Linked DNA regions of Struthio camelus. The protein of the gene in region 1 interacts with the protein of each later gene in a pairwise test. Links are inferred from orthologs where the notes say so. Each region holds a gene or a part of one and is shown on either strand. Other genes may lie near its edges. The genes, in order: TOX4, FNDC3B, ZMYND19 and T-box-containing protein TBX6L.

The links.
Region 2: the proteins of TOX4 (region 1) and FNDC3B interact in binary tests that used the Homo sapiens proteins (3 or more experiments, as listed by UniProt). The two-hybrid records come from large-scale screens. The link is inferred for Struthio camelus from reciprocal best matches to the Homo sapiens genes TOX4 and FNDC3B.
Region 3: the proteins of TOX4 (region 1) and ZMYND19 interact in binary tests that used the Homo sapiens proteins (3 or more experiments, as listed by UniProt). The two-hybrid records come from large-scale screens. The link is inferred for Struthio camelus from reciprocal best matches to the Homo sapiens genes TOX4 and ZMYND19.
Region 4: the proteins of TOX4 (region 1) and T-box-containing protein TBX6L interact in binary tests that used the Homo sapiens proteins (3 or more experiments, as listed by UniProt). The link is inferred for Struthio camelus from reciprocal best matches to the Homo sapiens genes TOX4 and TBX6.

Annotation. Positions count from the first base shown.
Region 1 is NC_090970.1:69,211-77,130, reverse strand, and holds the start of TOX4 (TOX high mobility group box family member 4), read right to left. Parts: upstream 3,016-7,920; 5' UTR 2,630-3,015; coding exon 2,624-2,629; intron 333-2,623; coding exon 264-332; intron 166-263; coding exon 1-165. Other genes in the region: RAB2B (ras-related protein Rab-2B), read left to right, coding at 3,354-3,399, 4,948-5,019, 5,110-5,177, 5,300-5,382, 5,471-5,563, 5,716-6,631. UniProt on the Homo sapiens protein: Transcription factor that modulates cell fate reprogramming from the somatic state to the pluripotent and neuronal fate. In liver, controls the expression of hormone-regulated gluconeogenic genes such as G6PC1 and PCK1.
Region 2 is NC_090950.1:27,368,728-27,375,712, reverse strand, and holds the start of FNDC3B (fibronectin type III domain-containing protein 3B), read left to right. Parts: upstream 1-3,969; 5' UTR 3,970-4,302; intron 4,303-4,558; exon of another isoform or gene 4,559-4,733; intron 4,734-6,985. UniProt on the Homo sapiens protein: May be a positive regulator of adipogenesis.
Region 3 is NC_090961.1:12,062,812-12,070,079, forward strand, and holds the start of ZMYND19 (zinc finger MYND domain-containing protein 19), read right to left. Parts: upstream 3,020-7,268; 5' UTR 2,912-3,019; coding exon 2,861-2,911; intron 2,579-2,860; coding exon 2,519-2,578; intron 806-2,518; coding exon 699-805; intron 1-698. UniProt on the Homo sapiens protein: May be involved as a regulatory molecule in GPR24/MCH-R1 signaling.
Region 4 is NC_090958.1:9,243,945-9,251,038, forward strand, and holds the start of T-box-containing protein TBX6L, read right to left. Parts: upstream 3,020-7,094; 5' UTR 3,003-3,019; intron 1,570-3,002; 5' UTR 1,456-1,569; intron 1-1,455. Other genes in the region: CABIN1 (calcineurin-binding protein cabin-1), read right to left, coding at 5,820-5,963, 6,464-6,690. UniProt on the Homo sapiens protein: T-box transcription factor that plays an essential role in the determination of the fate of axial stem cells: neural vs mesodermal. Acts in part by down-regulating, a specific enhancer (N1) of SOX2, to inhibit neural development.

The DNA.
Region 1 (7,920 bases):
TTGCACGCCGTACTGGGCGGAGAAACCGGCGTCGGCGGCGCTGCCGGGGTCGCCCAGGTCGTCGAAGTGGCCCACCACGTCGGAGACGGCCAGCGAGGGGTCGGCGTCCAGGGCGATGGGGGGGATCTCGAACTCCTCGTCGCCCAGGCTGGGCGTGTGGAAGGTCTGCGCGGCGAGGAGGAGGAGGAGGAGGAGGAAGGTGGGGCTGCCCCACCGCCCCGTTTCCTCCGCCGACCGGCCCCCCCCCCCCGCCGCCGCCTCACCTCGGCCCCCGTCAGGAAGGGGTGAGCCGTGCCGGTGATGGCCAGGTAGTTGTCGTTGCCGCCGGGGAACTGCGCGGCGCCCGGCCGGCCGGGAGGGAGAGAAACGGAGGCGGCTGAGGACAGCAACGGGCCGCCGGCACCTCCCCGGCGCTCCCAGTAGCCCCCAGCACCCTCCCAGCGCTCCCCAATACCCCCAGAACCCTCCCACTGTCCCCCAAACCCCCCTAACAGCCCCCAGCACCCTCCCAGTGCCCCCAACACCTCCCAACAGCCCCCAGCACCCTCCCAGTGCCCCCCAAGCCCCCCTAACAGCCCCCAGCACCCTCCCAGTGCTCCCAGCACCCCCCAGAACCCTCCCAGTGTCCCCCAAGCCCCCCTAACAGCCCCCAGCACCCTCCCAGTGCCCCCCAAACCCCCCTAACAGCTCCCAGCACCCTCCCAGTGCCCCCAGCACCTCCCAACAGCCCCCAGCACCCTCCCAGTGCTCCCAGCACCCCCCAGAACCCTCCCACTGTCCCCCAAACCCCCCTAACAGCCCCCAGCACCCTCCCAGTGTCCCCCAAACCCCCCTAACAGCTCCCAGCACCCTCCCAGTGCCCCCAACACCTCCCAACAGCCCCCAGCACCCTCCCAGTGCCCCCAGCACCCCCCAGCACCCTCCCAGTGTCCCCCAAACCCCCCCAATAGCCCCCAGCACCCTCCCAGTGCCCCCAACACCTCCCAACAGCCCCCAGCACCCTCCCAGTGCCCCCAGCACCCCCCAGAACCCTCCCAGTGCCCCCCAAACCCCCCCAATAGCCCCCAGCACCCTCCCAGTGCCCCATGCACCTCCCAATAGCCTCCAGCACCCTCCTAACAGCCCCCAGCACCCTCCCAGTGCCCCCAGCAGCCCCCAGCACCCTCCCAGTGCCCCCAATAGCTCCCAGTTCCGCCCCAGTGTGCCCCCAGCACCCCCTAATAGATCCCAACACCCCCCATCTCCCCCCCAGCACCCCCCAGTAACCCCCAGCACCCCTATGTCCCACCATCTGCCCCAACACCACCCAGCTCCCCCAGCTCTCCCCAGTAGCCCCCAACACCAACTCCCCCCATCACCCCCCAACAGCCCCCAGCACCCCATCTCCCCCATCACCCCCCAGCAGCCCCCATCGCCCCCCAATAGCCCCCAGCACCCCCATCTCCCCCCATCTCCTCCCCAGCAGTCCCCAGTACCCCCTATATACCCCTATATCCCCCCATATCCCCCCAAGAAGCCCCCAGCACCTCCTATCTCCCCTAACTCCCCCCATATCCCCCCCAGTAGCCCCCAGCACCCCCAACTCCCCCCCCACCCCCCAACACCCTCCATCTCCCCCCCAGCACCCCCTATCTACCCTAACTCCCCCCATATCCCCCCTAATAGCCCCCAACACCCCCCAACTCCCCCCATCGCCCCCCAACACCCTCCATCTCCCCCCCAGCAGCCCCCAACACCCCCTATATCCCCCTAACTCCCCCCATATCCCCCCCAGCAGCCCCCAACACCCCCCAACTCACCCCCATATCCCCCTAGTAACCCCCAACACCCCCCAACTCCCCCCATCGCCCCCCAACACCCTCCATCTCCCCCCCAGCAGCCCCCAGCACCCCCTATATACCCCTAACTCCCCCCATATCCCCCCAGTAGCCCCCAGCACCCCCTAACTCCCCCCATATCCCCCAACTCCCCCCAACACCCTCCATCTCCCCCCCAGCACCCCCCAGCACCCCCTATCTCCCCTAACTACCCCCATCTCCCCCCCAGTAGCCCCCAACTCCCCCCAACTCCCCCCATCGCCCCCCAACACCTCCATCTCCCCCCCCAGCAGCCCCCAGCACCCCCTATCTCCCCTAACTCCCTCCATCTCCCCCCAGCACCCCCTATATCCCAACTCCCCCCATATCCCCCCCAGCAGCCCCCAGCACCCCCTATATCCCAACTCCCCCCATATCCCCCCCAGCAGCCCCCAACACCCCCTATATCCCCCTAACTCCCCCCATATCCCCCCCAGCAGCCCCCAACACCCCCTATATCCCCCTAACTCTCTCCATCTCCCCCCCAGCAGCCCCCAGCACCCCCTATATCCCCCTAACTCCCCCCATCTCCCCCCCAGCAGCCCCCAACACCCCCTATATCCCCCTAACTCTCTCCATCTCCCCCCCAGCAGCCCCCAGCACCCCCTATCTCCCCCTAACTCCCCCCATATCCCCCCCAGTAGCCCCCAGCACCCCCTAACTCCCCTCATCGCCCCCCCATCTCCCCCCCCCGGTGCCCGGCTCTCCCCACGGGGCCTCCACCTCCACGACAACACCTCCCCCCCCCGGTCCCGGGCCCCGCTCACCTCCATGGCGCCGCCGCCGCCGAGCGAGAGTCTCCCCGCGACGCGCTCCGGCCCCCGACCCCGGAAGCGGAAGTCCCGCCTCCCCGCCCTCGCGTCACGCCGCGTCACTCCACTTCCGGCGCGAGGGTCATAGAGGCGGCCTCTCCCTCCCTCCCTCCCCCCCCCGCCGGCGGCGGGAGCCCCCCTAGGAGACGGGGTGGGAGGGGGAAAAAAGTCGCGTTTGGGTCTTTTCTGGCCCTGCCGAGCTGGCAGGGCCGGGTAGGAGCAGTGGAGCCGGCGGCCCCCGGCCCCAGAGCGCCCAGGTTCTGCCTAGAGCGCCGCCGGAAGCGGGAGGAGTAGAGGCGGCCGCCGGGGCGGGCAGAGCGCCGCCGGAAGCGGGAGGAGTAGAGGCGGCCGCCGGGGCGGGCAGAGCGCCGCCGGAAGCGGGAGGAGTAGAGGCGGCCGCCGGGGCGGGCAGAGCGCCGCCGGAAGCGGGAGGAGTAGAGGCGGCCGCCGGGGCGGGCAGAGCGCCGCCGGAAGCGGGAGGAGTAGAGGCGGCCGCCGGGGCGGGCAGAGCGCCGCCGGAAGCCGGAGGAGTAGAGGCGGCCGCCGGGGCGGGCAGAGCGCCGCCGGAAGCCGGAGGAGTAGAGGCGGCCTCCGGGGCGGGCAGAGCGCCGCCGGAAGCCGGAGGAGTAGAGGCGGCCGGCCTCCGAGGACAGAGCGGCCCTGGGCGGACCTGGTTCCGGGCATCATGTCTTACGCGTATCTCTTCAAATACATCATCATCGGCGATACCGGTACCGGGCCGGGGGGCAGGAAGGGTCTCTGAGGGGGCAGGAGAGCCTGAAGTGGGGCAGGAAGGGGCTGTGGGGGGGAGAAAGGGGTCTGAGGGGGGAAGGAAGGGTCTCTAGGGAGCACAGGAAGGGGCTCTGGGGGGCAGGATGGGGCTCTGGGGGGCACAGAAAGGGGGTCTGGGGGGCAGAAAAGGGTCTGGGGGCAGGAAGAGGCTCTAGGGAGCACAGGAGGGGCTTTGGGGGGCAAAAAGAGGCTTTGGGGGGACAGGAAGGGGCTCTGAGGGGGCAGGAGGGGGTCTGAGGGGGCAGGAGGGGGTCTGAGGGGGCAGGAGGGGGCTCTGGGGGGGCACAGAAAGGGGGTCTGGGGGCAGGAAGAGGCTCTAGGGAGCACAGGAAGGGACTTTGGGGGGCAAAAAGGGGCTTTGGGGGACAGGAAGGGGTCTGGGGGGGAAGGAAGGGGCTTTGAGGGGGCAGAAAGGGGTCTGAGGGGGCAGGATGGGGCTCTGGGAGGCACAGAAAGGGGCTCTGGGGGGGCAGGATGGGGCTCGAGGGAGGACAGGAAGGGGATTTGGGGGGCAAAAAGGGGCTTTGGGGGGCAGGAAGGGGTCTGGGGTGGAGGAAGAGGTTCTAGGGGGGCAGGAATGGGTCTGGAGGAAAGGAAGGGGCTTTGAAGGCGCAGAAAGGGGCTCTAGGGAGCACAGGAAGGGGCTTTGGGGGGGCAGGAATGGGCTCTGGGGGGCACAGAAAGGGGCTTTAGGGGGGCAGGAGAGGGTTGAAGGAGGCAGGATGGGGCTCTGGGGGGCAGAAAGGGGTCTGGGGGGCAGGAAGGGGCTCTAGGGAGCACAGGAAGGGGATTTGGGGGGCAAAAGGGGGCTTTGGGGGGGCAGGAAGGGGTTGGAGGGGGCAGGATGGGGCTCTGTGGGGGCAGAAAGGGGTCTGGGGTGGAGGAAGAGGCTCTGGGGGAGGCAGGAAGGGGTCTGGAGGGGAAGGAAGGGGCTTTGGGGGGGCAGGATGGGACTCTGGGGGTGCAGAAAGGGGGTCTGAGGGGGCAGGATGGGTTTCGGGGGGGGGTAGAAGAGCCTGAAGTGGGGCAGGAAGGGGCTTTGGAGGGGCAGGAAGGGGTCTAAGGGAGGAGGAAGGGGCTTTAGGGGGGCATGAAGGGCTCTGGGGGACAGGAAAGGGGTTGGGGGGACAAGAGGGGGCTCTGGGGGGACAAGAGGGGGCTTTGGGGGGACAGGAAAGGGGTCTGGGGGGACAGGAAAGGGGTCTGGGGGGAGGAAGGGGCTCTGGGGGGACAAGAGGGGTCTCTGGGGGGGCAGGAAGGGGCTTTAGGGGGGCAGAAGAGCCTGAGGGGGGCAGAAAGGGGTCATTTGGGGGGGGGGATTGAGGGGGGAGGCAAAAGGGGGCCGGTGGCCGGAGGGAGCTGGGGGTGTGGGGAGCAGCCAGGATGTAGGAGAGGGGGGAGAAAACAAGGGGGGAGGTATTTTTGGGGGGAGATCGAGGGCAGCAGTCGCGGAGGGAGCCGGAGCCCGTCCGTCCGTCCGCCCGCAGGCGTCGGCAAGTCCTGCCTGCTGCTGCAGTTCACCGACAAGCGCTTCCAGCCCGTCCACGACCTGACCATCGGTGAGGATCCCGGCCGGAGCGGAGCCCGGCCCCGCGTTTCCCCCGGCTCCTCCGAGCCCGCGTCCGGCAGCCCCGCGCCCTCTCTTGCAGGCGTCGAGTTCGGGGCGCGCATGATCAGCGTCGAGAACAAGCAGATCAAGCTGCAGATCTGGGATACGGTGAGGCCGCGGGGGAGAAAGAAAAAACAGCAGCGTATCGGGACCATCCCTTTTTTTTAAAAAGAAAAAAACAAAAAACTCTCTCTCTCTCTCTATATATATAAATATCTCTCTTTTTCCAGGCTGGACAGGAGTCTTTCCGCTCGATCACGCGTTCCTACTACCGAGGAGCGGCCGGGGCGCTGCTGGTTTACGATATCACCAGGTATCGCCGCCGGCCGCGCTCGCGTCGGCCTCGACGTCGTCCCCCCTCCGCCGCCCCCCACCCCGAATCGCTCTTGGCCCCCGCGCAGGCGCGAGACCTTCAACCACTTGACGTCCTGGCTGGAAGACGCCCGCCAACACTCCAGCTCCAACATGGTCATCATGCTGATCGGGAACAAGAGGTTAAATAAAAACAACAAGAGCGAGTCCGGAGACTCGTCCCGGACTCTAAGAAGGGAGGTTTTTTTGTTTTTTCGTTTTTTTCACCCACCTCACCCCCCCTTTCTTTTCTTGCGTCCTGCCCCTCGGCCGAATCCGTCTCCTGCCTCGGCAGCGACCTGGAGTCGCGGCGGGACGTGCGGAAGGAGGAGGGCGAAGCCTTCGCCCGGGAGCACGGGCTGGTTTTCATGGAGACGTCGGCTAAGACGGCGGCCAACGTCGAAGAGGTGAAGGGATTATTTGGGGGGGGGGGCCGGCGGTTATATAAATACACATACGTATATATTTCTTTATGCTTTCCTGCTCGCCGGTGGGAAATCCCCTCTCAGAGCCACTGGGGGCAGCTGGTTTTCCCTCTTTTTTTTTTTTTTGTTTTTTCCTCCTTTTTTTTCCCCCTTTTTTTCCCCCCTCCTTTTTTTGCCTCTCGTTGGCAGGCGTTTATCGACACGGCCAAGGAGATCTACGGCAAGATCCAGCAGGGCCTGTTCGACGTGAGCAACGAGGTGAGCGCCCGGAGCCGGCGGGGCAGAGGGAAGCGGCGGCTCCCGCTCCCCTCTCTCCCCGATTCTCCTTTTCCAGGCCAACGGCATCAAAATCGGTCCCCAGCAACCCGCGGGGACGGCGCCTTCCTCCGCCGCCCGACACGGCGCTCCGGGCTCGGGAGACGGTTCCGGCTGCTGCTGAACGAATCGCCCCCTTCGTTTTGGGTTGGAGGGAAAAGGAGAGGAAAAAAGACGGCGGCTTCGAGCTGCGTTTCTCGCCGGGGCGGCTCCGCTGCCGCTTCAGCGCCGTCTCCGCTGCCTGTAAACGAGCTTTTTTTTTTTTTTTTTTTTTCTCTTTTTTTGATTTTTCAGTTTTCTTTTTTTAAACGCCGTGACCGCTCGCGGCGTCGTTCGACGCCGGCCGCCTCCGTAAATCCCCCGGCCCAGCCCCGACCACGATGTTTTCGGCACGGGAATTTCCCGCCCCGAACCTCCTCGTCGCCTCTTTCCCGCGAACGATCCCATTTCCCCCCCCAATTTCCCATCTGATTCAATCCCGTTTTCCCACCTGATTCAATCCCTTTCCTCCCCGTTTCCCCCATTTCCCACCCAATTCGATCCCATTTCCCCCCATTTTCCCACCTGATTTGATCCTGTTTCCTCCCTTTTCCCCATTTCCCACCCGACTCAATCCCATTTCCCCCCATTTTCCCCATTTCCCACCCGACTCGATCCTGGTTTCCTCCCCGTTTCCCCCCCATTTTCCCTCCCGATTTGAGCCCGTTTCCTCAGTTTTCCTCATTTTCCCCAGATTCAATCCTGTTTCCCCCCCTTTTTCCCACCCGATTCGGTCCCGTTTCCTCCCCCTCCACCGACACGTTTTCGCTCCGGTGAGGAAAACTACTCGCGGCCGAGCATCAGTTTTGGAGCTGGGGCAGGTTGTTTTGGGTTTTTTTTTTTTCCTCCTCCTCTTTTCACTCGCGCGACGTGCGGCGCTGGAGGGGAGGACGAGCGGTCGGGATAAAGCGCTTTGGCCAAAATCGCAGGGTTTCGCCTTCTTTCTCCTCGCCCCAAAAAACAGAAACACAGCAATTGTGCAGAAAAGCAAAAAAAAAAAAAAAAAAAATATATATATATATATATCTATACACATACACAAAATATACTTTTTTTTTTCTGTTAAACAATGCAGACGTTTCACGTTCACCTGTTCTGCCTTATAAACAGGAACATGAAGTATTTTAAAGGGCTTTTTCCTCATTTTCCTCAAGCATTTCCTTTTTCCGCTATAGGGAAAGATGAAAACTTACAGCAGCAGCAGGATTTTTGCTTTTTTTTGTTTTTCCCCCCATTTTCCTTAAAAAAAAAAACCCCAACAAACAGCTGCTTGAGTTTCAAAAAGGTGGTTTTGGGGTTTTTTTTCCCCCTCTCCCGTCATGAATTTGCGGGGAAACGGTTTTGCCGGGGAAAAGCCGCTTCGGGGACGCCCGAGTTAGGAAAACACCAAAAAGCGGCTGGCGGGGCAGGGTGCTAATTTATCATTTTTTTTACCTCTTTTTTCCCTTATATTTTATTAAATACGAAAACATGCTTTGTTGAGGGCGGAAATGAGCTTTTGGGGGCTCGTTTCGGGCTTTTAAGGGGTTTAGCCGCCTTCGGGCGTCTATTTTACAGCTTTTTATTAAAATAAGAGCCCAAGGTGGGGGGGGGGAGGCACTTTTGAGCTTATTTTCCAGAAAAAAACAAGCTTTTTGAGCTTGTTTTCCGCTTGTTATTTCATTTCCCCCCCACATTATTATTTTGTTTTAAAAGTGGAAATAAGCCGAAGCAGCTCCGTT
Region 2 (6,985 bases), on another chromosome or scaffold:
CATAAGGAGGAGGGAGGAGAGGATCCATTTTGCTCTGGATGTTTTCTTAAGGGGATCATTCGTTCTTTTAATTTGTGCAGCCTGCCCTTTCCACCTCACACCACCCTTCCCGTAGCAGAGGAAGATCTGACTGAAGGAATTCAGCGATCCCCATTCTCAGCCTGGTCAGAGAGTTTGCTGTGGGGTCGCGTAAGATGTTTCTCACCGAGGCTGAGTATGTCTTTTTTCCTCAGTCCAAGTTGCTGCTGGCCCTGAGAGCAAGAATCTGAACCCAGAGCTCTTACACTGTAAATGTAACACATTAGACACTGAATCCAGAGCCAGTCCACCCAGCAGCTGCTCAGAACCTTAATAACACATGGAGAGAAAACTCCTGTGGCCACAGGCCACGCAGTGTTTGAACAGAACCACTCAGTGTACATGCCAGCGCTATGCGGTATTAAAAATGACTGAGGGCAGTACACCCCAGGTAAAAAAAAGCAGTATTCTGCAAATAAAGCAATCAAAGCATTCTCTGTACACTGTTAAACAGAACTGATGCCAAGATCTCAGCCTACTTGCCCTCCAGAATACAGAACATGCAGCTTATTGAAATAGTAAAAGTCTAACTCAAAACCCATTAGAAACCTGAGGGAGAGTATCTTATGAGAATAAAAACTGTCTTCACAGCCTTTATAATGATGTCTGATCTGAGATGTCACATCCCAATTGTATGGACAGAGTTTCCATAGACCCCTCTCTGGAATTTTTCGCCAAATGGGACGAGATGGCTGAAGGGAATGACGACAGAATACAGAATTTAGAATAATTGGTTTGGATCCAGCCCTAGTCAACAGTGCCTAAATTGTTACTGTTTGATGGCTAAATAATTCCTATTTGAAAGAAATTAGTGGTTTCAGTCTGATCCCAGTAGATCCGTATCTTGGGAATGACTGTCCTTGGTACATAATTCCAATAGTAAGGCCAAAGACGGAGGCAGAATGATCCCTTCATCCTGCTCTTCTGCAACAAGGACACAAGGGAAGGGAGGTAAGAGAGACCTGCGCTATTGCATTTCTGACACAACTTGCTTCATGAATAAACAGAAAGATGCACTACGAAAAACAAAAAATGTGTATCTATCTTATCGAAAGCTCAGACTCACAAAAACACAAACTCATCGAAACAGCAAAGTTAAGTTCATGACTCTAGTCTATACTCATTTGGGTATTTTGGGTTGGTCATTTTCCTCAAAGTAATTTACACATCCCTGCTGTGTTGCTGCTTAAACTAGTTCTTACCCCTTTTGGGGCAGAAGACATTTCCTCTTGGTCTGATTAATGCTCTTCCTTGATCAGCTGCCTCAGGCAGTAAGCCATTGAACAACTAGTTTTATCTGTTATTTATGTAGGGATTTTTTGAGGAAAAGCAGTCCTTGCTTCATTCTCCTCCATCCCTTTCCTTGTTTTTTAGAACCTGTCCAGTTTCCACTGAACCACTTCACAATTGCTGTTAATTATATCTGGCCCCTGAGTTTGTCAGCACAGAGCGGCTGAACAAAAACGGTTCTAAATGAAGAGTACGAGTTTTTTTCAGAACTCTTTTTTTCTATCTCTAGGATAGCTTTGCTGTGTTTTATGTGAATCTGGCCAATTTTATGGTTTCAGGTGAGACGGATATCCACATGGAAATCAAGTAACTGGGCACGTTTGTTCTCAAAGTTGTCAAATGTGGTTGTTGAGGATGAGTGTCTCTGAATTCTGCTCCAGCAGTGAAACCAAACTGAAGTAAGTGTGAACTGTAAAAACTTTACATGGCTACAGAGAAATTTAAAATACCCACTCATAACGACGGCAGAGGACATTGCTCTACTTCTGTAGGGGATGGGACAGCATACCAAACGCCCCTATGCCCAGAGTCTCTGCTTTGTTTCTTAAAATGAGAACATACTTGGATCTAGCATTTTTGTTCTGGCCCACCTGATAGGAAAGCAACAAATCTGCCTAGTGGTTTTATTTCCTTCCTCTCCTTTATTTATTTTCATTATCTCTCCTTTAGGTTTGATATTGTTTACTCTTCAGTTTAAATGTTGTCTTTTTATAATTTTCTGATTTGCATTAGTGTTTTTTCCTTTCAACACTCTTCACTACCTTCCTCTTTCCCTTTTCTCTATCCTTTCCTTCACAAAACAGTCTACAGGATCAAGTAAAGGCTTTACCACCCTAGTGAATAATTAATCTCATCTGACTGCAACTCAATCCAGGATCATCAAAAAGCCTGCGTGTTTTGGGTCACTAATAAAGCAAAACATTTTTCTGCTTTTAGATTTTATTCATTACAAAAGTTTTTGCAATTAACGATGAACAATACTTAGTGCTGGCTGATCATTTTACGCTGAAAAATCTTTCCCATGGGAAAATGCTAATTTGTTATTTTCATAGGAATTATCTATTTCAGATAACTTTATTTTCATTTTTCTGTGTTTTGGACACTTAAAGAATAGCTTAGTTGGGCAAAATGTTTTGATTTTTACCAAACTTCTATGCCAAACTAATGTTTTTCAGTGTGAGTTTCAACAGCAAATGAAAAATCGAGAAGCCCTACAGGAAAAATGTTTTTGTGGATGTCTTAATGGAAGTTAATGAAAATATACCTGAACTGTATAAGACTCTAGAGATATAGTTTTCTAGCTTCTGAAAGGAAACCTTGCTCTTATGAAGTAAATCAACTACTGAAAAAACCTTTACGAAAAATAAGATTGAAGAAAATAGATAGTGTCTAAGAGAACATGGAGCAGAAGACATGCCAGTGATGAGATGTTATTGAAGAAGGGTAGATAGCCAAAGGACTGAGGCCAAATAAAAAGATCCCTCATAATATGCTTGCAATTTGTAGTGTGCGTGAGGCAGAGTCCTATTTTAAGCTTTTCCTATAGCCAGATTAAAGCTCTAGTTGTGATTCCCACCTTGCTTAGATGCTGCGCTGAGAGGTAAATTACCAGTGTGGTTCCTCATGGCTCTACTCCAGAGCAAAAGGATAAATCTTTCTTCTTTTTGTCTCCAACAATTTAAGTATGTCAGACTACTCCTTAATCTCTGAAAATACGTGCCTAAAGGTTCTTCTCCTTACTTCCAAACTCACAGAAAGATAGAAAAGACCACACTGAGTCAGACCAAAGGTTCTTCTTCTGCAATACCTTGTCTCTTACAGCAACCAACAGCAGATGCCTCAGCAAGAAAATACAAAAGGGCACACAGAGTATACATAAGAGCCCGGCCTTAAGCTATTTGGATGAGGGCCTCCCTGTTTCAGCAGCGCTGTTTCTCCAACAGGGAGATCCTGTGGGGGTATTTCTCTACTGTCACAACTGCAGAAGGCTCTAACTGCAGGAAGCAGGCTTGGGGGTTACCCAAACTCTGACGTTCGAGGGGTGACCCAAATATCCGCAAATGAATAACGATGCAGACATTTTCTGGTGTGCATGCCGTATAAAAACATCCGATAGACGGGATGAGAGGCAGATGGGCGATGCGCACCGGGTAGGTCAAAGGACACGGGGCTCCTCGGCAGTCTGCATCTGGTTAATTGAGGTTACGCAGGACACCATCTCTCCTCTGCGGGATTCAGAGCAGGACGGGGCACCTGGAAGGGGACGGGGACAGGCACCAGGGCTGCCGCTGGCGGCCACGGAAACAACACGGCAGAGGTGGGAGAAGGGGTGGGTTGGGAGGGAGGACGGGGGCGCTGGGGGGGGGGGCAGAAGGAAGGGGCGAGGTGGGAACTCGGGGAGGATGCTGAAGCGAGGCCAGAAAGCAGAGGTGGGAAATGGAGGGGGGGGGGGGAGGGAGCTCGCCCCCGTGTTGGGGGGGCAGAGGCAGCCACGGCCCCACCCCGCCGCCCGCCTCGGTGCCCCCGCGGCCGTTGGGAAGGAGGGGCGGGGCGGGGCGGCCCCAACGGCCGCCGCGGGGCGGGGCGGGGCGGGGCGGCTCCTCAGCGCGCGCCGCGGCCGTTGGGAAAGGGGCGGGGGGGCAGGAGGGCCCGCGCGCCGCCCGCCCCAGCCTGTTTTTTTTTTTTTTTTTTTTTTTCCTCCCCCCTCCTCCCCTCCCTCCCTCCCTCCCCTCTTTTTCCGCGGGAGCCGCTACTCCAGAGTGCGCGGTAGCGTGGGCCGGCCGCGAGGGCCCATGTGGTGCCGACATCACTGACATGGCGGAATCCCCAGTAAGCCCGCCTGGCCGCCGCTCCAGCTAGCCGCCACTCGCCCGCCGCGCCCCGGGCTCGCCTCTCCGCCCTGCCGCTCCGCTCTGCTCCGCGCCGCCCGCCCAGGTAAGGACGCCTCGCCCGGGGCGCCCCGCTCCGCGGGCGGGGAGGGAGGGGAGATAGGAGCCCCCCAGCCCCGCCGACCCTTTTGTTCGGGGCGGGCGGCGGCGGTTGGCGGAAAGTTTCTGCTTGCGCCGCGCTGCCCCGGGCCGCGGGTGCGCCCCCTGCGCAACCCGCTCAGGGGCGGCGGCGCCGGCAGCGGGAGCCCGCGGAGGTTTCGCCTCGAGGGGGCTGCGGGCAGGGGCCGGGCAGGGGGTAGAGCAGGGCGGCCGCCGGTGCCCGGGGCAGCTGCGGCGCTTCCTGTCAGCGCCGCGGCCCGCGCAGCCTCCGCCACTGGCCGCCGGCGTGCCCTGCCCCTCGGCCGCTGTCTGGTGCGAGGGCCGCGCGGTTGCGATACGAGGCGGAGGGGGGAAACGCGGCTTCACGGCTGGGAAGAGGTTTGTGCTTTTATGCTTCCCCCCCCCGCTTCCTCCTCCGCGAAATGCGCTGATGCGCGCTACCAGGTGATAGTGTGTATGTGTGAAAAAGGCGGCGAGGTGGCGGGAGGGGAAGGAAGCGGTTTCCCTGTCCTCGCTTTGCCTCCAGAAGGAGCCGCGGGTGCGGAGCCTGCGCCCCGCTGCCCGGCCGCGGGCTGCCGCGCAGGTGGAGCCGCCGGAGGCTCCTGCTCGCCGCGCCGCCGGCTGCCGGGGGCGCCGTGGAGAGGGAGCTCCGGCGGCGCCGCCTCGTCCCCCCTTCCCCGTCCGCTTCCTTGGCCGGGACCGCTTCGCGAAGGAAAATCCTGGAAACTTTTTATTTTGCTTGCCAGACGCCTTTTTCTTTTTAATGGCATGCTACCAGGAGACAGAATGGAGAGAGAGAGGGGGGATAAAAAAGGAAAATTCTTTTAAAGGATTAACCTCTCTTAGGTTAACACTACATCTGCAGCCCTCCCTTCTTCTCCCCCCCCCCCCAAGTTCTCAGAAATGTTCTATTTAAATAAGGTTTTGGCTAAGGTAATGCGGCTTGGAATTTAATGCAATACACCCTTTATCCCATCTATATTTGTGGAATAAGGTGGGGGTGGAGGGGAGAACCCGAGCTTCTCTCACGGTGCTAATAATTTTGTGTTTCATTTGCATTTCTTTGTCTGAGTACCTAAAAGTAATTGCTTGCTTGCTTAAAGTAATAGTTACTCCTTCACAGTCGGGAAACTGAGATATAGGAAAATTTCTTTCTTTTTTTTTTTTTTGAGGGGAACTCTGTGCGTTTTTTCTTTAAGAACAGAATTCAGATTTCCCAGTTCCCTGTACCCTAGGCACGTTTGCTGTAACCCCTAACAATTTACCCCGCAGTGCCTAGGGCTGAACAGAAGTAACTAATAAATTTCCAAAAAGTGTTAAACCTGTCTAGCTTGAGCTTAACAATGTGCAAGGTAATAGGAATTCAAACATGCCCATGTTTAAGCCTAAATCACTGTTTCCCAACCTTTTTTTGCAGCTGAGCTTGCTTAAAAAAGGTTGGAATTTCCAGGTCTTGCAGAACGTCTTGGTGCTTGTGCTTGTTTGGCAGAATAAGCCGGGGCTCTGCGCCTCTGTTAGGGAACCATGCTGGTCTGGGCATGGACACAATGTGTGTTTGGCTGGAAACCCTTCTAGACAGACGGAATGCATCGTTTCATAAATCTCAGGATTCAGAGATGGGCTGTTTCCTCCTATTAAGAGCATCTTGCTTATCTCACCCAGTCCTTTTGTACCACCTGTATGTCATTATCAGCAGTAAGAGAATATGCTACTGGTGCTACCAATAAGAAAACAGTTCTTGGCTGCGTTCCTGGGGTCACTTAGGGTCTTGCACAGAAGCAGTCTCTTAGTGCTCTTCTCATAATCTTCAGTGCTTTGTGGTTCCTTCTCATTAGTTTTAAAGCAGTTGTGCTTTGTGGTTATACCAGGACTGTGCTGTGGCAGAAGGATCTACTTGCACAGAAGTGTCATATATTGTTTTTCCCAGTTTAGTATCTTGAAGCTTGTTTGTGGTCATAATGTAGCTCAGGGGTGAGTGTGCGAGGAAGTTTTAAAAAAAAAAGATTTTTTTTTTTTCCCCCCACACACCATCAGGATTCATCTGATTTGGGTTCAAGGTCACTGCTGGGAGAGCAGTGAGGGTTGTTTTTTTTTTTTTTTTTTTTTTAACCTACTGTTATCTTATATATGGCCAAAGTATAAGAAATGAATAAATTTAGCATCCAAAATAAGCTGGTATTCTGTTATAGCTGAGAAGTTTGGACTTGTAAGTTAATACTGCAAGCAGTTTATCTTTACTCTCAGCTAAGTCTGTAACTTCCAATTGGAAGTGCATTTGTTCTGGCACTTGTCTTCTATGTATTGTGTTTGGTGGACCTAAAGAAGATTCTTGCACGCTACCTTTCTTAGCATAGAATTTTCTCTTTTCTTTTCACTTTATAGATTCTACTAAGTGCTCTCTCTCCTTAGAGAGCTCCTCTCCTGAGGAGCAGTAAGGGGAAACGTCTACAATGCATAATTTGAGCAAAAAAATACATGTAAGTCGTACAGCAAAGTTATGCATGTGTGATTGTATTCATGAGCTTTCTAATTAGTTTAATTGGCTTTTCCTTCAAAAATGTAGGTCATCAGTCTGAACACTAACACACACAGTTTACAGTACAATTAACTGTTTGTAGTGTGAAGATCTT
Region 3 (7,268 bases), on another chromosome or scaffold:
TCTTTCCAGCACACACCATATTTTCTACAAAATTAAACTCAGGTCTCATCATGAAGAACATATCTAAAAGGAGCAGACTAACAGCTCATTAGATTAGTCAGGAATACTTACCTCTTACTACTGATTAAGTCAACCTCTGAATGTTAACTGGGAGCTACAAAGGATATCAAGCAATGATTCTTAGAATACAGAAAATAGGAAGTAGCAGCTGAGACAAAGTACCTTCAGCGCTGTTTCATGTAGCTTTCCAGAAGGCTGAACAAAAACCTCCAAAGTTTTAAGTTAGAGGTTCTATCTCTCCAGTGCTCTGCCAATTCTCACTGGTGCCAGTAAGTTATGTGCTTATCACAGGACAAACGGAACACAAAAGGTTAGTCTTCATCCATTAATTTAGATGGAACACCCCCGGGCACACAAGTTTTGGTAGCAATTCTCAGATTTCAACAGTGTCCGCACAAATTATACTCACCTATCACTGTTTTCCCTGGGAATAACATTTTTACAGAGACTCAACTGTTTAAATGACCAGTGCAAAACAAAACTATAATAAGATCTAATGGCACCCACTGTGCTGGGTTCCCAGATGAGTATAGCTGCAAGCCTCCTGAGAAGACTCAAAATACTACAAGCAGAGAAATAAACAACATACAAGTTGCAGGCAGCAAATTGCACCTTAGTGAACCCTTGAAGTTACCTACCAAAGTAGCTCATGTAGCAGGCGGCCAGACCCCCTTCCACGATTTTTGTCAAATGCATAAGCAAATATTTTAGCACCATTTCCATCAGCATCTACCTCCATCCGAGCCTAGAGAAAAGGGAAGACTGTGACTGAGGGCGCCCAACACAGAGTGGCAGAGCACATGCCTTTTGGGATATACAAAAGACCAACATTTACTATTTGGCTCCTACAGACGTAGGAAACCCACCATATAAGATATAGGTCACTTGATCTTAATGGAATTTCACTTGTCTGAAACCTCCAACAGAGAGAAAACAGCTCTGCTATTGTAGCTTATGAAGATGCAAGGCAAAAGGAAGAAAGAAGGCTTTGCACAGCAGGAGTTCCACTTGGACAAAGAACAACAACAATCCAGTTGTTAGCCTGTAGGGCCAGGATCCATTCTCTGCTCTGGCATAGATTTTATGTACAGCCATCAGCAAGTCACCAAGGCTTTGTTTCCAGTATTGCTTTACACCAATCTAATTAGGGGTTGCTAGTGAAAGGAGTGGTCCTGCCCTCTTTTCTCCACTCAGCTCCATAACCTTGTGCAGGCACTAACGCTCTTGCTGTTCCCTGGTACAGTTCACCGTGCAAGCTAGCATACTCTCCACCTCCCCTTAAAATATATATATAGTTTTCAGCCAGATGTTTTTCTCTGATCCAACCCCTGTGGAGTCACACAAGCAGTAGCGTAGCAGAAACACAGATGGGGGAAGAGCGAGTCCCCTCCTTTCAGGGGCAGCGTGGATTTTTGAGTGTTCTGAACCCCCTGTGAAATGAGACCAAGTCCTTGCATGTCCAGCTTCATTTCCCTCCTCTACCACACAAATGAATTACTACAGAGGAGGAAAGAGCAAATACGGTCTTTCTTGATTGGAGCATCACCACAGCACTTAGACACCTAACAGTAACTCTGCAGCACCCACTGTGCTAGGTGCTACGCAAAAAAACGGTCCCCACTCCAAAAACGTGTTAGTTATAGAAGATTTTGCAATGAAGAATTCTTTCTCTTTGTAAGTCTGTAAGGCAGAATCAGCTTACCCTCTTGAAGCATATCTTAAGAGAAAAGTTTTTTCGTTCCATATTAAGCTAACTAAGAGATGTTTTGCCAGTGCAAGACTATGTGCAAAGTGAAGTGTTTTTAAAGTTTTACAAACCAAATAAGGGGAGACAGATTGTGAAAGTTTTCAAAAAATATATACAAGCAGAAGGCTGAAAACAAAAGCTATATAACAAATTAATTTGTTTTAATGCTTGTTTACAAATGAAGGAACGGAACACTTCCCATTTGAAAGCGTTCACACTGTTGTTTCAATATTTTCAAACTTATTTTTTTCCCCCAAAGTAGGAAAGTTATTGCTCGCCAGCGTGATTCCACAAGCAGTTTTATTTAGGCATGTCAAAACAGGAAAAAAAAAACTCACTGACACATTGCAACTACTTCCACCCCCAGGAATACCGCGAACCGCTCTCGCAGCGGAGACCTCGGAGGAGCTGCTGGACCCAAGGGACAGAGCAAAGGGGTATCGCCACCCCCACAAGCTAACGGGGGAGAAAGCAGAGGCCTTGCTGATAGTCTGATCGCACGCACTGAAAAAAGGGAGCCGGTATCGCGATTTAGAGAGAAAAAAAAGAAAGAAAAATAAGAAAAAAAAAAAAGAAACAGCCCCTAAAACCAAGCCCTAAGACAGCATACGATGGGGGAGGGGAAAGGGGGGGCCGGGAACGGAGGGAGAGAAAGTCATGGGGCAGGAGGCGGGCACCGGGGAGGGGGGACCGGGGGCCTCTCCGCCTCACCTCGAAGGAGTAGCTCTCCACCAGCGGGATGTCCTGCTCGTCGATCAGCGTGTACTTGGTCTGAAACACAGAGCGCAGCGGCCGCCGTCAGCCCAGCGGGGCCCCCGCGGCGGCGGCGGCGGCACCGGCGCCCGCCGGGCAGCGCGACACCGGCCGCCGCTGCCCGCGCCTCCCGCCCCGGGGCCGGGCTCGGCGGGCACAGCGCGGCCGGGGGGTGTGGGGAGAAGAGGGGAGCCGCCCGCGCCCCCGCCGCCGCCCCGCGGGCAGCCGCTCCGCCCGGCGCGGCCCGCAGCGCCCGGCCGCGCCCCCCGCGCCCTCAGGCCCCGGCCGCCGCGCGCTCACCTTGCCGGCCACCCGGCCGAGCCGCACGATCCCCAGCTTGAAGTCGGTCATGGCCGGGCCGGGCCGGGCGCCGCCTGCGCTCGCCCCTCGGAGCCCGCGAGCGGGAGCGGAGCCGCCGCCGCCGCTGCCACGCGCCGCCGCCTCGCGCACACCCGGGCTGGGGAGGGGGGGAGGGGGCGGGGCAGCGCACCACCTCCCACCCGCCGCCGCCCGGCCAATGGCAACCCGCGCCCCTGGCGCGTCGCCCCTACTACGCCGCCGGCGCACCCAATCGCCGGGCGGCGCGCGCGCGGGGTCACGTGGGGGCGGGCGCGCGGCCCGGCGCGGCGCGCGCGGGCTCGCGCGCGGGCTCGGCCCCGAGGGGGCGGGGGAGGGAGGCGCGGGCGCTGACGTCACGTTCGCGGGAAGCTTTGTGCCGCCAACACGGGGAGAGCGCGAGCGGTGGGGGCTGGGCTTAAAGGGGCCGCTCGGGCGGGAGGGCCCCGCCCGGCCGGGGGAGGGTCTGGGGCGCCGGGCCGGGCCGGGCCGGGCCGGGCCGGGCCGGGCCGGGCCGAGGCGCGTTGCTGGGACCGTCCGGTGGCTCTGCCCGTGTTGGGCTTGGAAGCGTTCGGTGCTTCCCGTGGCCACGCGGCTACGAGGAAGGCGCTGGCGCCCGGGAAGGGCAGGGCCGGCTGGGGAGCCCCTCCGTGGTGGCGAAGGTCACCCCGGCTGGTGGCCTGAGGTGGCGGTGGGCTGCGCCGGCCGCTTCTGGGCCTTCGGAGGCGGCGGCTGGGCGGCCCTGCTCGGCTGAGACCTGCCGGAGAAGGTGGAGCAGGGCCGGGCGCCCGTGTCCCGGGAGCTGGATGCGGACCCTGCTGCGTTATAAAAGAGATTCACTCTGTGTTGGGATGTGCTGTAATTAATAAGCTGCGCCCTGCAGGCGGGACGCGGGGCCGGTCCTGCCCGGGCTGGGGAAAGAGCCGGATGATCTGCCTTGCTGCAAACGTACAGCTTCGGCGAGGATGTTCTCAGACGCCTTGTGCTGCCGCAGGGTTTGATCGGTGGCTCCGTCCGCCAAAACGACGCGCCGTGCTGGCGGGTGCGGGGTGGTGGGGCTCGTTTCCAGGTCTAGTCGTGACGAACGTCTAGATGAGGGCGAAGAGCTCGCTCCTCGTTTCACAAAAGTCAGGGGAACGGATTTGCAGAGCGTCCGCTGCCCAAGACTCTGCAGTCACAGCTAAGAGCACTGGAAACCACCTTGTTTCCTTGATTGACGTGTGGGCGTTTTCGGCAGCCTGCAGGAACGTTTGGAAGATGTCACGGTCGAAGAGGGGCTTCAAATTGCATATAAATGGATAAAGCAGCCAAGGAGGACGGATCGCTGTCCTTGCCCAATTACCTGGGAAATCACTAGGGCAGAATAGGACAACTGTGCCCCGAAGAACGTGAGCAGCAGGGAAAAGATGTGTTTAAAACGGTGAAAGGAGCATCTAAAGGAGACAGACGTTAAAATATTTAAAATCTAAAGAAGAAGCTTGGAAAACTTTCCTTAAAAACTTTCATTTCTGCGACGGAGCAATCCCATGGAGGAGACATAAACCCCAGCTGCTTCAGGCTCTCATGCCGGACCAGGGAAATTAGACACCGCGGTTTGGAGCAGCCCTTCAGCAGCCAGCAGACCCCGTGGGATCCAGGAAATGCCTAATTCTGCAGGTGCTGCTCCGTGCAGTTGGGGCACGAACCTGACCGCGTTCGTCAGGGCAGCTAGTCGGATAAGGAAACCTTCGTAAGCTGCTAAGCAAAAGTCTTTTTGGCTAATGAGAAAGTCAAGCAAATAGTTGAATCGGGAGCAGAGTATCTATGCAGTGAAAAGAATGCCTTGCTCTTGCAAGAGTCCTTGAGGGAGAAAGATAAATCAAACCTCCGAGAAAGGCAAAGTAGCTGGAAACGTGCAATAAATCCATTAATATACACCCAGGTTTATCAAGGGCATTGCTTCATTTTTGATGACTGTGGCTTTTGATGATTGTGGCCTGCTTTTTAAAAGAGAAAAACAGCAAAGAAGAGTGTATGATACTGCTGATGCCAGGAACAAGTTGTTCGGTGCGGGGGGACTTTGCTCGGGATGTGAAGGGCTTCGCTTCCCCATGGCACCTGCTCTTTTGCTTGGCCCTAGAAACACGCCAAATAAGAATCGGGTCGTTCCCAGCTGGGAAGGGACGGGGAGAAGAAGAGATTGTCCAGGCTAGAGAGAAAATCAGACTAACGCTGGCGGCAAATACCTGCCGGTGACAGGTGTTTGCATTTGCTTTGGGGTGGTCAATGGACTGCAGCCCCGAGATGCTGACGGTACCTGAAGCCTGGGTGCCTCGCCGAGGGCGGCCGGCGCCGGGAGCCCTGGAACGCGCCGGCCGTCACAAAGCGGTGCCGTGAGGTCGCCCCAGGCGAGGGGCTCCCACCGGCGGCCGGCACGTGCCGCGGAGCGGGGCCGCAATGGACTACCGCCAGAAAGTAACCAAGCACATGGCCAGCTACTACATGAACGGCTACCAGCACTGGAAGCCACCGTTCTTCTGCCAGCTTTTCCAGCACCGCTGGTAATTTTGGGCTGTGCGTGGGGATGCGAGGGGGGATGCTTTCCAGCAACGCCCGACTCCTGGAAACCCAAAACCGCCTGTGCATCAGGCGACAAAGAGCACGGACCAGGGAGCAGCCGCCTTGCCCAACTCCACATCTCACTTCCCACTCCCGGTGCGAGGGAGCTCCCAACCCGCCGCCAGAGCCGGGTGCTGCCATCCGCAGCGCGGCCGTGCCGTTCCCCTGGTCCCGTTCACCTGGGGGCGACGCAGCCCAGCCCGGGGCAGTTGCCTTTGACGTCGCCCAAGCTGTCCCTCGCCCTCCGATAGGAACCTGCTGCCCGTGACGGTTGTGCTCTGCCCGCGGCTGCGGCCGGAGCCCGAGGCTTCGACCTGCCGCGTCTGCCTGGATCGTGTGAAGCAGCTGAGCAAGAGGCACTGCCTGCTCCTCTGCGTGGAGGCCCGCAGCGGAGGTGAGTCATGGGTGCACGAGCCCGGCCAGCACCCCGGGCACCCTGCCACCTGATTCCCGGCTGGGGCTCCTGCCGGCCAGCAGCCTCCTCCTTTCTCGTAGGCCGGCGAAAGCTCACTTTGCCATCGCGACTTTCCTTCCCCTTCTGGCACCCTCTGCACCTCCCATGCCCGTCGCGCAGTCCCCTGCCCTTGGGGGACGTGGCAGAAGGGCACGACGTCCCTGAGGTCGCGGGCAGTGTGGGCGGCAGCAGGCGATGGATGGAGACCACCTCGCCTGCCACGTGGAGATCAGGGCATCTTCCCCCAGCACCGGGGTCTTCTGCTGGAGGCGGGCTTGGGTCAACCCCCCGTTCTCAGGGACAGACACAAAACCTGACGCTGCGGGTCGAGCGGCTGCAGTGTCCTCGCGATTGTCTCTGGCTCATGGGTGAGACAGAGCGGTCGGCACCGTCACAAGCAGCTGCTGCTTTAGGGCACCTGGCTGGCAAAGGCACGTTTCTGGTATTGGGAGCTGAGGGGAAGCTGGGCTCTGCTCCCAAACCACGTTAGCCAAAAGCTGCTCAGAAGAAGACAAGCCCCCATGCTGCAGAGCGGCCTGCGACACCAAGACACCGGCGGGGGTCTGGCAGGGCCAGGGGCCCCGCGCCTGCCCCGTATCGCTGCTCTGTGCCCTTCCTCCAGACCGCCGAGCCCCTGCGTGGAGCCAGCCGTCCCCCCGCGTTGATGGTGACAGCCCCGGGCCTGCTGCCGACCTCTCGCCCAGCACCTGGTGCCGTGAGGACACCGCTGCAGCCCAGAGCCGAGCAGGAGAGACCCTTCTGCCAGGTACGCGAGGTGTCCATCTCCCCCAGAACGGCCCCACGGTGCCAAAAGCAGCGATTTGCCCCGTTTGGAAGCAGCAGAGCTGTGAGGACGCTCCACTGCGAGCGGTTCGTACCCCGGTGTGCCGCTCGCAGGCTCAGCAAGGAGCGACGGGTCCTGCCCTCGCGTGAGCACCCTGCCAGCAGCTCCCACCCGCTGGGCAATGCTGGACGTGACCCTCCTTTCCCTTGTCTCTCCTTAAAGCGCACAGAGCTCCTGGGCCACCAGGGTGAAGGTCTCCCCTGGAAAGGGCTCCGTGTTTTGCAATTTTTCACTCTTTTCTTCTGAAGGTGCAGATCACGAAACCAGAAGAAAGCCCTGGCTTCAGAGCAAAAACCCATTCATCAGGAAGATAGATTTAAAGAGCAGAGTCAATGTAGGTTGTTACTATCTTTAAAAGCCCTTTGCCTCCTTTCTAAGAAGTCTAGATTGGAAAAAAAATGAATTGCTGGCAGGGTAGTACCCTCCTTCCAAGTACTATGCAGCTTAGAAGGTAGCGTGGGAAAGGTTATGCATCC
Region 4 (7,094 bases), on another chromosome or scaffold:
AACAGCTGTACCTCAAGATATACTGTCATGGTTCACTGCTGCAAACCGATCAGTAACCTTGAAACCTGCATACTCTACCATCCGAATAGGGGGTAGAGAAATCAAATAGGATAAAAAAAATTATGCCAAAGCAAAGCTAGATGCTCAAAAATGGCAATACACAGGTCTAATTTTGGGTGCTTGTACTGAAACCACCACGCACAAGTGCATTACTGTCACAGCTTTAAGTGGGGCTGGTTGCGCTGCGCCAGTCAAGTTGCTGCTTCACTTGGAGGAACTTCCCTTCCCTTTGGATGCTATTTCTGTCGCGGATAGCAATGATTTCAGAAAACACGGCTGACCAGACTCTGACAGTGCTGGTCACAATGTTACTACAGGACAGCAGAAGAAAAGGGATTAAGGTAAAAAGGCTGTGTACAAGTTTGCGCAAGAGAAAAACGAAATGGGATATCTATGGTGTGCTGGGTCGTGGTTCTGGCGCTCATGCACAACTGCCCAGGTGCACGAGGACTTAGTGATGAACATCAGCTTACTGTGTGCTGGAGGCTTGTGCATATGTGAATGCAGTGCAGGACATTTTGAAGGGATAAAAACTGCACTAAGATGACCACCACGATCCACTTGTTACCAACATCCTTAATGTCATCAGGCTTAAAACTTCTGGTTTTAGTCCTAACAGATTTAAGTTATCTGCCTGCTTTTTTTGTAAGACTTGAGAAAATGAAGCCTATTAGGTTTCCTAAGAAGCTGCTCATTAAGCTTTTAAAACTCTCTTGCCTAAACTGGAACACCACCTAGGTTGGGACAGTATCTAAGTATACCAATGAAACAGCCAGATGAAGGCAGAGTGGGAACCTCAGCTGCAGAAAATAGGTTGGTGGAAGAGTTACAGAGCCGAGTAAGTAAAAGCAGCATGGATAATGACAGAGAGAACAATATAAAGGAACAGGAAAAGCAAGCAGGAGCTGAAAAAACATAACTTCAGTATTTTCTAGAGAATATACCCCCAGATTACTCCTAAAATACTGATGCATACCTTGAAGCTTAGCGCTAGTGGATTCCTAGTAATCAGTCAAAAGAAAGGGAAACATGGCAATTAGCACTCAACATCTACCCTGAACTTCTTGCCATCACCTTCAGCTGCAAGAACAAAGCTCCTATATCCCAGCTCTAAGTAACAGCTCATAAGACTTATGCTTGCTACTTTTTCTTCTAAACATCCCAACTCATTCACTTTACCACGTTGTTCCTTAAAAAAAATACGGCAAGCACCTCCAAGAACAGAAACGAGTTAGGCCCTGTAACACTGTACACACCAGCTATGTCCATCATGAATTTTTCAGCTTCCTAGAAATATCATCACCACTGCCAAAACCAGAACGTTGAATTTAACTGTATGATCTCACCATAGTGAGTTACAGCTTTGTGATTTACAAAACTTAAGTCTATTCTCACCTGGCTCCTCCGTTTCCATTCAGTCTATTTTGTCTCCTAATCGGCTTCTGCTGCCATGCTTTACTCATCTTCTCCTGGTCCCTTTTCTCCCTGACCATATGGTGTTTATTTTGGCTGGAAGAGACATTAATTTCATTATTCATGAGGCAATCTTGTTCTAATTAAAACATAAAAAAACAAGAAACAACAACTGACAAACTCTAGTACTTGATAAAATTAAGGAAGACATGTAATGTGGAATAAAAAGTTATTAGTTTTGGAGGAACAGCATTTCTGAGACAGCAGGAAGAAGCCACTAATAACAGCTGTGCCTAACAGAAAAATTCTTAGTAAAACCCTAGCCCTTGCCTCAGAGATCTGAACTCTCGATGGCCTCAATTACACAGAGATTGTAGAATCCTTGTGCCAGGAAAAGAAACTGCACTCAACACAATTAAATCCCAGTACTATCTACCTTAAGAATAGTGATTAAGGTAGCCAAAAATGATTTGCTTTTTAAATCAATTACTGGCCGAAAGGGGCAAAAAAGGAAAGGAGAAATAGACACCTTCCCGGCCCCTACTTGGGCTTCAGGGTGAACCGAAGTTTTAAATTCTGGACTGGCCTGAGAAAAGCTGGTCACTTCATTGGGGGACACACAAAATCATTGCAAACACAACAGAAGGTACAAGGGAGAGATGCAGAAAGAGGTTAACAAGAAAACTGCCTTTGCTGTGCTCATCTGTTTATATCCAAAATAGCTTCTAACTACATAGAAACAATAAATTCAAATCTTCTGCTGGGTTTTCTAGCTCTGATTATTCTGTAGAAAAATGACATTTGAGTTGGATCTTTTATTTGGCAATCTGAGTTGGATTGAGCGGCATTTGAGTTGGATCTTTTATTTGGCAAACAAGGTTTCATGTTTAAAGCTCTTCCGATGTTACAGCAGTAAGGATAGTATATAATACTATGTTTTAATACATTTTTGTCTGTACATGCAAATTCACTTTAGGCACCAGATACTTCTCTCTCTATAGCTTCACAGGGAAAAGAAACCCAACAAAATAATATATACAGAGCAGCAGTATACTTCAGTAGCTGCCATTTATTTGTCTGGCATAATATTACAAAGAAATCTGGGAACGTAAAGATTTCAGAAGCAACGGTGACCCAGCAAACCCTAAAGACCAAATACTTTATTTATATTTGATATGCAACTATGAAACAGGGGAGTTGATCATTTTGACCTTGCCTATACTGAGATCAAGCTATTATGACTATGATTAAGATAAACTCAAAGACATCGCTTCAAGTAAAATCATAGCTAATTCAGTTTTACCAAAAGACTTTTTTCTTGAAAATTCCATCAAATTTTATCATCAGGCTTCAGAAGACACCCTATTAAGTGAATACTTCTGTTTGCACAGGATTTGAAGTTCCCGCTTCAAGAACCTTTAGGGATGGTGCTTCAGACAAACAGCACACAAAAACGTAGCCAGAGATCTTGGCATCCTCTCCCCAGGACACGGTTCCCTGAATTGAACTACTACATAAACTGTACTTACAGAGAGAGGATTTCATACATATAGAAGAAAAATGGGTCCTTTGGCATAAATCAGCAGTAACACCCATTATGGAAGATGGTCCACAGTTGAGCAGCGCAGTATTTGGCCGTTAGCAGAAGTGCAGGATTCGAAGGCGGCGGCCCACGTAACCCCATCGGTCTCAGTACCCTTTTGACCTTGAGGAAAAAAGTCCTTGAGCCACCTGAGAGCATAATAGGAATGAAAGATCACAGATAAAAAGTAAGAAAAACAGTTAAGACTTTTGAAAATCAGATAAAACAAGTTACACAGTTTTGTAGTTTGAAGATTTAAATGAGTTTAGAGCAGAACAACAATGTTCAGCTCACTTTGCTCATAGGAACAGTTTTAATCATTGTGGTAATTTTCCTTCAGCAATAAAAAACAAAACAAAGCCTTCTCAAAAAAGGAAGGCTGGGAGCCAAAGAAAGATCCAGATCAGACATTTTAGCAAGCACTGGAGGAAAAAATAATTCAAAACACCTAGTTTATAGGAAACCTCAAGAAGAATAAAGGAAAACAACCATTTTCAATGACCAAATTCAATTAAGAAATAGTCTTTTTTTGAAAAATGAGAGACCTAGATTAACTTTACTGAAGATTTGAAATGTTTTTGCCTGAAGACTACACTAAAAATGGTCCCCAAAAAATCAAGTCAAATGCTGAGTCCGCGTACATCAGCCCTATGCTAGATTGTGGGCCCAAGAATTCATAATTGATCTTAAAGTCAGCCATACATTTCAGAATATATATTAGCCAAAAAGCCTATATAGTCTACTCTACTTAAGAGAAAGAGCACTAATTAAAAGTATATCCTCCAAGAATGTTTGGCCCTGCAGTTCACTTTGTGTGTTCCATTTCTCATTACAAGCCGATTTCCTCTTTGTTTTTCCTGTGCTATCTTCTAAAAATACAGATCATTCCTTTTATTTTCCAGAGCTATCTGAGCTTCTTACCAGGCAATGCCTATAGAATATGCTACACACTGTATTTATAATAACTTACACCAATTGAAAACATTTTACTATTGAAAATATACATTTGCTTTTACCTCTCATCCTGATCTTCTCCACATGCCACTTGCAAGCTGCTCATCCATCACTTGCAGTAGGCAAACAAGTTACACGAACAATTGCTAATACGCCCACAATGGGTGTGTTCACCTGCTCAGAAATTACATTTTGTTCAAAATGAACAACACAGAGTACAAGAATGAACTTGCAAGACAAAGTTTGATGCTGCTTCTTTTTATTCAGGGACCATTCGGGTCTCAATGGGGATACTGAACTGGGGGCACGCATGCTTGGCAGCACTGGCTGACCAGGCTCTGGGTCACATAAGACCAAAGCCATCCCAAGAGTTCTGGTGGTCTTTAGGAAAGGAAGTTTTTTTTCCCCTCCTCCAGAACCCTCTTACCCAGGAAATAAAAGGAAGGGAGGAGTGGTATGTTCTCCAGAACCATGGCATCTTGACCTCTCCAACCAACAGAGACAACAGTAAGTACATTTTGACTTTATTAGAAAAAACAAAAACAAAAACCAAAAGTTTATACAAAGCTCTGCATTTCACAGAAAACCACCTTCCCCCGTAACACAAAGAAATCCAACATGGCAAGCTGTATGCATTTTCTTTTATCATATATATAAGTTTGTGTGTGTGTGTGTGTGTGTGTGTGTGTGTGTGTGTGTGTGTGTGTGTACGCATGTTTGTGTGTGTATATATATATCTATATATATCTATATAGCGTGACATGGATTTTTTTTGCACGGTTTGCATTTATTATTTTACAAAGTTAACATTCAGTAGAAAAAAAAAATGATTTTTTTTACCATTATTTTCTCATATAAATAACTGTGAGCAGTCCCTCTGCAGATAGTTAAAAAAACACCTTTTCGTGTCATTCTGTAAAAAACAGACGTTACTGAAATGGTACTGAAATCTTAAATTTTTTTTCAATACCGCCATAAAAATATCATCTAGCCCCCAATTCAAAATGCTTGTCCAAGGCATTAGAAGAGAAAGGACTGTAAGACAATTCTGGAAAGATCAGTTCTTTAAGCCAACATTCAGGTAGATAATTTTTGCTGGACCTCATACATATGAGTGAAATGAGCACAAACAGGAGGCCAACCTCTGTCTGCCTGGAAAACCTGCTTCTTTGCCTTCTGTCCACCTAGTCAGCTCTTAACAAGGCATCCAGCTGTGCCGTGGAGCCAACAGACTTTCAGCTCATTCTTCTCGCCCCAAACTGAAGCCATAGACTTCCCTGATGCCACTGAAAATTCGACTAGTTCAGCAAACTTCTCCTGCTCCATTCACCTTAAATGGAGTTGTTGGTCTAATCATGGTATGGCTAGACAGAGATTAGGCTGCAAAATTATTGGGAGGAAAATTTAACCTGTGGGGAAAATGAAAGACAACTAAAAGGTAGAAAAATGCTATAGAAAAGAGCCGCTGGACTGGCTCCCAAGGCTCTGGTTTGAAGCAGGAACAGTAGAGATGCGAGTTGCAGCTCAAAACATTCTCGTGTTTGCTGAAGTTAAAGGTGACAATGTGGTCCAAATGAAGTAACTGCCTGGTAAACAATCATTCTTTCTGTCGAGCACCATGATGGGGAGAATGGCGAAGATTTTGAAGGCAATACAAGCAGTAGTGGTGGTAACAAAGGTAATGGAAGTGAGGAACACAATGATGTAGATTAAATGGAGAATAATGCCAGCGAAGATGTTTCGCCTGCCAGAGATGCCGGCAACAAGAAGAATGGTTACATGGTTGGTGTTGATGATGGCCAGAATTCATTCATATGTCCATGTAGTCATCATCTTCATCAGTATCACTTTCCAGTGAGGACTCCTGGCTTGAGGTCTCTAAGATTTCCAAAGCTGGCTGACAAAGGCTCTCCTTCTTTACATTCGCTGCAGACTGAGCAGACAAAATAGCAGACTGATCCCAAAAAGAGAGAGAGAGAATATATTGCTAAATAGACAGGATAAACCCATGATCACAGGGATAAAAACCAACTGGCTGCTAGTCCTTCACATTCCTACGTCCTCTTATTTCTATAAATTTATGACATCCTAATGTGAAACAACATAGCATTTACCAATAGGCTTCCCCACAGTTAAAATTTGAGTACCTTCCACTAACATAAGAATTGCAAGGGCTACACTAACTCCCTCACCCGTTTTTGTAATTCCTTCTAATTCCCTCCGAGACAAGGGGCTGGGATAGCTGTGATTTCACTCATGTCCAAAATTTCACTAGTCCTTAAAAACTGACTCCTGCTGATAACAGCTAGCATCTCCTTCAATTACTTCTGCAACCCCTGGTTACAAACTGGGGACAGGAATGGTTGCTCCTCTCACATAGGAATTTTATTCAGGGGAGAATTAAGATAAAAACAATCATCTAAAAAAAAAAAATTAGTGTTTCCCTTTTATTACCTTTAATTTTTGCTTGGTCTCTTCTGAAATGCTGCCCTTTGGAGAAAGGAGGGTGGGAGTGGGTGGAGTGACAGTGATCTCAGGTGGAAATTTGGTGACAGATGAAGGTATGAAAAGCTTTGGCATGTTGGGCAGAATGCGAGTTTTTACACGGGTGCCATCTGTCTTGCTCTGCTGACTTCCCAAAGTCTGTGAGCTGGAGCTGAGTTCAGGCTTGGAACTGGAGGCTAAAGAGAAAATAAATAAGAAAAAAAAAAAACATGTTAGGAGGCTATCTATGATTTCAGATGTCAAAGGAGAGGGAACAGTTGATTGTTAAGCATATGGCTGGCTCAAAAGGCCTTTTTTCAAGCCTCGTTTTAATTAAGGCTCAGAAACAGAAGAAGAAAGCACCTCAAGATTCTACAGTGACAACTGGAAACTGGTCATAATTTTTAAAAATCTTATTGGACAGCAGAAACCCAGCCTGTCTGTGCTTAGCAGGGCAAATGACAGCATAGCCTTGGCCCATTTACATGTCATTAGAAGGTTACTGCAAACATCCACTTGTTGTTTCAGATCCAATCATCTTATCTTTGCATTCTGTAACGCTCGCCACTATGTAATGCAACAAATAAGGCTGCTTCATTTT